2 linked regions of the Drosophila melanogaster genome follow. The protein of the gene in region 1 purifies or fractionates together with the protein of each later gene. This does not show direct contact. Each region holds a gene or a part of one and is shown in the gene's direction. Other genes may lie near its edges. The genes, in order: Usp2 and Rpt6.

Region 1 (3,924 bases):
GTGATTGCTCAGTCTTGCAACGGGTGTACAAGGAACACGAACATCTAAAATTATTACTTCGCACGAGTCCATGGCAACGGTGGCTAAGTAGTTCGGGTCCTGTTTGTTCCAGGCCAAGCGCAGCAGCGCCGTATGAGCAGGATCCTATTGGATTTATCGTTATGTAGTCATCCGTTTTTGTGTTTTCGCGCGTTCTACTTACCTCATATATAATGGTCGAGTGCTCCAAGTGCCGCAGATCAAACATGCGCACCGACCCGTCCGCTCCCACCGAGGCAAACATGTCCCGACCGCCGCCGGCCCGCGAAAAAGCAATGTCGTATACTTCCTTGTCATGGGCAATCAATTGCGTCTTCACGTGTCCTGCCACATAGACGCGAGCGTGCGGCTGTCCGGTCTCCAGTCCCCAGATAGTGCAGGTTGTGTCTATCGATGAGGTTCCCACCAGATTGGGATCCACCTCGTTCCAATCAAACGAAGTGAGGGGAGCGCAAAAGTCGCTGTTCTTGTTGTTATTCAGTACGCACTCGAGCCGCGTGTCCGGTTCCCCGGCACGCCACACCCGCAAGTAGTCGCCACTGGTGGCCAACAGATCCGGATAGACACCCTTGGAGTCCGGGATCCACATGATCTTGGTTGTCGGATATGGATGATCAAAGGTGCTATTTGAAGAAGAAATAATCTGTCAGTGAGGAAGGGGATTTCGGAAAAATGGTTCGTATAACCAAATAACTATTCATATTTAAAATGATTACAATAATATCAAAACTGCTTATCATTTTATATTATTTTTTAAAGATAATATACGAAATATAAAATGAAAACAGAAAGTAGAAGGGATCAGCTAAACAAATATTCGGTATACCTCTTAGCACTAAATTCGCTGGTGTCCTCGTCCAGGCTGATGATCTGTACCTTGTTGTTGTACTCCTCGATGAAGCTGCCCAGTGCGAGCCGGAATCGCTTGTCCGGCCTTACACTCCAGTTCATGGAGTACAGTGGCCATGGCGCGAGATATTTGTAGATCTCCTTGCGCTTTCCGGCGGTCGAGGACATAACTGTAGATATGGAAAAGGATCAGCATGAGAATCTAGGACTCGTATTCGAATTCGGAGTCTGGATCAAGAACCCACCTGAACTGTGTGATTGGATACGGATATCCAGACCAAGACGAAGATCAAGACTTGGATGACAAGGTGCTGCTGAGTTTTCTCAATGCCGTTTAGCTGGTGGCCGGCCTAATGACGACGAGCTCCTTTGGTGATGATGACGACAATGATGATGATGGCTGATAATGACCACTCACAGCAGCGGACAACTCAAGAAAACTTCATGGAATGGGAAACAAAGGTCTTTGCTTGCCACTCGCATTTGCACACTTTACCGGCTTGCTTTTCCTTGGCTTTTCCTGTAGCTTTCCTCTTTTCCGAGATTCACATCATTTTGTGCACTGGCAGTATTGCCAGCTCGCCCGTTTTCCGACTAGAGTCCGTCCGTCCGTTTGCCGTCGTTATTCCGGCGAAATTTAGGTCTGGAGGACACCGATCGGAGAAGTCGAACTGTACTCAATCAACAGGGCGAAGGAATTAATTCAACGGCGTGCACATCGCGACCGCAACGCATCCGTTTGGCCAGCAAGTGGAATTGTGCCCGGCACTCCGTATAAGGTGGCAACACTAAAACGTAATGCGACGCGAAAATTCGTTTGTGGCGGTCCTTCGATGGGCAAGCTGCCCCGGTTTTACCTTATAATTTGGTTAAGTTTCCAATCCAACCACAGTTTTCTGAAACAGCACGGTCGGAATTACACGGAATTAGTATTCAAAGAACTTTTAATACATTCTTTTCGACAGAATTTTCACACAAAAACAGTGTGACCGCGCAGATAGCTATAAGAAATACCTTGTGCAAAATCATTGTTATATACCAGATAAACAAAATACTATTTATTTAAAACAAAATTCTGTATTAAATTATATTGAACTGTAATATATAATATTCTAGGCTTGACTTTAGTCTAATTAAGAATTGAAAGTTGTGTGTTTATTTCCACCCAGAAATCTTTTCCCTGGAACTGGAAATATAATTCGATTGGCGTTTTGTGCAAAAACTATTAAGTTTGAAGCATATTTTTCAAATCCCATATGATGGAATTCTGTGTAAATGGAACATTAAGAAGGCCTCTGCTCATCTGTTAGCAAGTACACCAACCATACATGCATCAGGCATAGTTCTTCGATAGTTATCGAAGAACAGTTAACCTATCTTCAAAATCTAGTGACGGTGACTTCGTTTCGGCGTGCGGCCACACTAGCAAAAAAAATAGGATTAAAAAGTGAGTTCTGTGTTGTGCAAAAAAAAATTGCTTTAATTCGACCGGAAAAAGGCCCTTTTGCGGTGCAAAACGATGATGTCGCTTGGCTGGCGTTAAAATTTGTGGGATATCATTAAGAGACGGGACTTTCGGCAGCGCGACCTCGTTCGCCTCGTGATGTTCGTTTTGCGGTCAAATTTTCACCTTCGCCACCCATCCCCTCGCCCATTTGTTTTCTATCTTAGTATGAATTTATACACTTTATATACGCATTTGCCTTTGTACATTTTTTGTGTTCCGTGGATGTATGAAAAATTCCTAATAGCCGTCGTCGTCACTTTTCCACTTTCCATTTTGAGAAAGATATTTCACTTTGCGTAATTCGTACGCTGCCTGGCGCCTGTGTGTGTGTGTGTGACCGTGTAGCCAATAGTGCTACATCGCTCGCGCGCACAATCTCGGCACTGTTTTACTACTACCCTGGCTCGCCCCCTCTCCCTCACACATTTCACTGCCAAACGTACGCGCGTGTGTGAGTGCACCTTTTAAAAATAGAATCTCATTTCGTTTCGTTTTATATATTGTTTTTGCTTTTATCACAATTATTTCGATTTTGACGTGCAAAGAATGTATGAGTTTTGTGTCTAAAGAAAGCGGCTAATCGTGGTAACCGTTGAAAAAGTTCAGCTACACCTGTGGGTACTCGCGTGCGATTGTGTGAGCTTGGATAATTCAATTTTTTTAAGTGAATGTGTGTGAATGGGCTGTAGTGTAGTTGTAGCATTTTATGAACGAAAGATCGATTCGTGAAAGTGTGGCCATCTTATGTTAGTTAAGGCCTACCACCCGCTTCTCCCATCCCCCTGCACTACACCACCCGCAGAGCCTTACACTTGTGCATGTATGTATGTAAAAGCAACGGTTTTCTCGAATGGGAGCGTAGACAGCCTGGCGGCACACACACGAACGTAACTTCATTTTAAGTGTTACCGCATAAGGACAGCCGTCCGCGTCCCACACCGCCCCTACCCAGTTCAGCCAGCCAGCGTCACACTGAAGTTGTTGTTATGGCAAACTTGAAAACGGCTTTTCTCTATTTATTACTATTTTGCGATTGTAAACAAGTGTCGATCGGTTTTCCACTCTCCGCCTAACTGTTCATCAGGGACAAATCGAAGGCCACAAATTCCCGAGATGTGCGTGGGTGTTTTTTGCGCTTGTGAAAAATCAATCGTGGGAAGGGGAAGAAAGACGAGGAGTTCCGCTTGAAGGGTTTCGCATTATCTTATGCAGAATTCAAGATAACCTTGCGCCTGCAAGCCTTCATTTCTCCAATAAGTGAATCAAATGTAAACGGACAAGGTCTTGACAATTTAGAATTGTTTGCACTACTAAAAGTACCGTCATAAAAATGTGGTTTTGATTAAAAGATGTTCCCTCATTAGATCATTTACACTGGGCATTTTCCAATCTTTTGGGTATATTTTTGATAAAGAAGTTAGAATATTATGGTCCGATTAGTATGAGGTTTTGAATTCGAATTAATTTGATAAATAGGGCCTTCTAAAATTCCATTCTTTTCAGTTTCGCCTACAACTTTAGCAGCAACA
Region 2 (3,924 bases), 1.1 Mb from region 1:
AAAATGCACATTCTGAGAAAAAGCACCAAAAACTTAATGCCCCACTGCATGCCAAAGGAGTAGCCGTAGTGCCACTGATGCACCATCACCCCATCCTCCACCTGGGCAGCGACGTTCTGAGAATTGGGCCAGAAAGCGTCCTTATATCTCATGTTGGTTAGGTGGTGTAGATGGTGTACTTACTCTGATGATATTCAAAAAGGGCAGTAGGTATATAAAATTATAAAGGAATGTGGGCAGCTGGGCGACACTCATCACGGAGCACGGCTCGTCGGCGGCCTTCAGCAGGATGTTGTAGACCTCGACATTGGGTTCTGGATAGGTGCTAACTATGTCCTTGCGCAATTGGTGGTACCATTCCACAAAGATCTGGTGCTGCAGCTGCAGAAACCCCTCGCGAATATATATATCCTGCTGCTTATCGTGCTTGGCCCGATCCCGTCCGGGATTAATGCGACCCGAACAGCGGGTTATCCACAGGCGATCCTCGGTGAGGAACGGAGCGATCGTGCGGAACTCGCTGGGAAACCGAATCGAGATGGACAGAGTCAAAGGAGTGCCGTCATCGCGCAGATCATTGAAAACAATGCCCGCCAGGGTAGTCCGCTCATCGAACTGATTTTGCATTTCGGACTCGCTCTCGTAGCCCACGGTTGAGCTCAGTTCCAGCGTTTTGGCCACATTCTTGGTCACCTCCGATGTAAACGTCGTTTCCGGCGTGAAGGCCAGGATGTACTTGGTTTTCTCCCGCTTCGAGTCTGCCATGCGTCTGCGGAAGGTAACAAAACCATATAAATAGGTAGGAGCATTAAGTTGCGCCTTTGGATGGCGCTACATTCAAAAGGTTGTAGGTGAATACTATGCACTTACGTCAATATATTTATGTCCTGCAGTTTGTGGGACACGATGCTCTGCTCGTTTTCGTTCTCGGTGGTCGTGTATAGAAGCCTTTTGGAGTGAGCGATGGGGTTGAGAAAGATCACTAGGACCATTATCACTAGGGCGACGATCTCGAAGAGCGTCCGCCGCCACAGATTTAACTCGATGCGGATGTAGCGCTTGAAAAGAAGACCCTTGCTGGCCGGCATTTTACAATTTAAAATATAAATTTAACAAACGACAGAAATTGGTTGGCGGGTCTGCACTCCCGCACAAAACGGATGGTTTGAGTGTGAGAAGTTTGATTTTCGGCAGGGGATTTTGAAAATATTCTTATTTTGCCTTAAAACATACCAGTACTTTGTTCTCAAAGCACATTTTGATGACTATTTCAGACTACGCATTTACATGCCCAATGTTTTGAAATTTTCATAGATAATATTGAACACCTTCAAGCTTAGAATTTGTCACATTAAGTATTCACAATTAATTAGAAATACATTACATTTTTTTCATTAGCAGCGGTATTAGGCTAATTCAAGTTCATTACTTAAAAATCGCTGGTGCTACGCAAAAACAAGAGAGAACACAATGTATTTTACCACGAATCAGAGAGAAACCTATAGTCGAGTTCCCCGACTATCAGATAACCGTTACTCAGAGAAATATCATCATTTTTCTGTCTAGAAATTGGTAAATAAATTGAAAAAATGTATCGGTTTTGGCATGTCGAAAGAAATTTACAAGACTAATATAAAAATAAAATATTAAGACATTTTTTAAAAAAGTGGGCGTGGCAGTTTTGGGTGGTTTGGGTCAACAAACTAGCGCTGTCTCCAGAATCTGTATGCTTAATCTCAACCTTCTAGCTTTTAAACTTCCTAAGATCTTGAAGTTTATGCGGACGGACAGACGAACAGGGCCAAATCGACTCGGCTATTGATCCTGATCAAGAATATATAAACTTTATATGGTCGGACACGCTTCCTTCTACCTGTTACATACTTTTCAACGTATCTAGTACACTCCATTTACTCTACGACGGGTATAATCCTACGAGTAAGGTCGTGTTTTGTTATATTTAATTTTAATTGTTTACTGGACACATTTAATTCGAAAACCTTAGCTAGGTTTTTTACCACCTAGCGTTTTTATCGATGCCGATTGCTCGATGGCATCGATATTCCGAATGCAGTGCGATAACCGGCATGTGTCATCTCGAAAAGCAAATGCAGAGTCATACAATAAAGAGGAATTAATTCGACATCTTGCATTGTGGTCCTTCAGTTCGACAAATAATAACAAATTAAAGTGTAAACAGAAAACGAAAGATGACGGTGACGAATCGGGTATGTACATTTGATTCCCCCAGCTCTTCCACCGCGAAAAACCAATGCTCCATGTTTTCGCAGATGGAAATCGAGTCGGCCTACCATAAAGGCGAGGGATTCCGGTCCTACTACATCCAAAAGATCGAGGAACTGCAGCTGGTGGTGGCCGAGAAGCACCAGAATTTGAGACGACTGCAGGCCCAGCGCAATGAGCTCAATGCTAAAGGTAAATTTACTGTTACACATATGTAGATAATGTGCATAGTTGGTTAGCTGTAGGATATAGAAAACATATAAGACTTGTTCTTGGTCTTAATATCAAAAAATCTTTAAATTTGAGAAAGCAATCCTAATTAGCACGTCTTTTGCAGTTCGGATGCTGCGGGAGGAGCTGCAGCTGCTCCAGGAACAGGGTAGCTATGTGGGCGAGGTTGTGAAGCCCATGGACAAGAAGAAAGTGCTGGTCAAGGTGCATCCCGAGGGCAAGTTCGTCGTCGATCTGGACAAAAACATAGATATCAACGACGTAACCCCCAATTGCCGCGTGGCCCTGCGCAATGAGAGCTATACGCTGCACAAGATTCTGCCCAATAAGGTGGATCCGCTGGTCTCGCTTATGATGGTTGAAAAAGTTCCTGACTCCACATACGAAATGGTTGGCGGCCTGGACAAACAGATTAAAGAGATCAAGGAGGTGATTGAGTTGCCCGTAAAGCATCCAGAGCTGTTTGATGCCTTGGGTATTGCCCAGCCGAAGGGAGTGCTCCTTTATGGACCTCCAGGTACAGGAAAGACTTTGCTGGCCAGGGCCGTTGCCCATCACACCGAGTGCACCTTCATTCGCGTCTCTGGCTCAGAGCTGGTCCAGAAATTCATCGGCGAGGGTTCGCGCATGGTTCGAGAACTCTTTGTAATGGCCCGGGAACATGCACCATCAATTATTTTCATGGACGAAATCGATTCCATTGGCTCGTCGCGTATTGAGTCAGGTTCCGGCGGCGATTCCGAGGTGCAGCGTACTATGCTGGAGCTACTTAACCAGCTGGACGGCTTTGAGGCCACCAAGAACATCAAGGTGATCATGGCCACCAATCGCATTGACATCCTGGATCCCGCTCTGCTGCGTCCCGGCCGTATTGATCGCAAGATCGAGTTCCCGCCACCAAACGAGGAGGCGCGTCTGGACATCTTGAAGATCCACTCCCGTAAGATGAACCTCACGCGTGGCATTAATCTGCGCAAGATCGCCGAGCTAATGCCAGGCGCATCAGGTGCGGAAGTCAAGGGCGTCTGCACGGAGGCCGGCATGTATGCGCTGCGCGAACGACGCGTCCATGTCACCCAGGAGGACTTCGAGATGGCTGTGGCCAAGGTGATGCAGAAGGACTCGGAGAAGAACATGTCTATCAAGAAGCTGTGGAAGTAGGCGTTGATCGGCCATTGCAAAAGAACCCTTATATTATTTTCAATAAATACATCAGTTAGTAACATAAATGCATTATTGTGTCATTGGATTTACTCCTTAGTCAGTACGCACAACCCAATTATGATCTTCACAGATAACTTTCGTTCAATGATATCTGAAGAATTGAATAGATTATCAGATTACAGTAGCAGCTTTGTAAAAAGTACATTGCAGTGTTTTCAACTGGCTGCTTGATCAGAACAAAAAAAGAGAGGTTATCCATCTCTTTCTTTTTTATGTTTTTTCGAT

The links.
Region 2: the proteins of Usp2 (region 1) and Rpt6 purify together in Drosophila melanogaster (affinity purification with western blotting; one study listed by BioGRID). This does not show direct contact.

Annotation. Positions count from the first base shown.
Region 1 is NC_004354.4:22,453,529-22,457,452, forward strand, and holds the start of Usp2 (ubiquitin specific protease 2), read left to right. Parts: upstream 1-2,274; 5' UTR 2,275-2,335; intron 2,336-2,917; exon of another isoform or gene 2,918-3,031; intron 3,032-3,362; exon of another isoform or gene 3,363-3,663; intron 3,664-3,898; 5' UTR 3,899-3,924. Other genes in the region: wap (wings apart), read right to left, coding at 1-144, 203-662, 866-1,056. UniProt on the Drosophila melanogaster protein: Hydrolase that deubiquitinates polyubiquitinated target proteins. Required for preventing the activation of the Toll signaling cascades under unchallenged conditions. Essential for bodily calcium homeostasis.
Region 2 is NC_004354.4:21,313,968-21,317,891, forward strand, and holds Rpt6 (regulatory particle triple-A ATPase 6), read left to right. Parts: upstream 1-2,084; 5' UTR 2,085-2,210; coding exon 2,211-2,228; intron 2,229-2,291; coding exon 2,292-2,436; intron 2,437-2,581; coding exon 2,582-3,636; 3' UTR 3,637-3,696; downstream 3,697-3,924. Other genes in the region: CG1801 (uncharacterized protein), read right to left, coding at 1-116, 184-769, 871-1,088.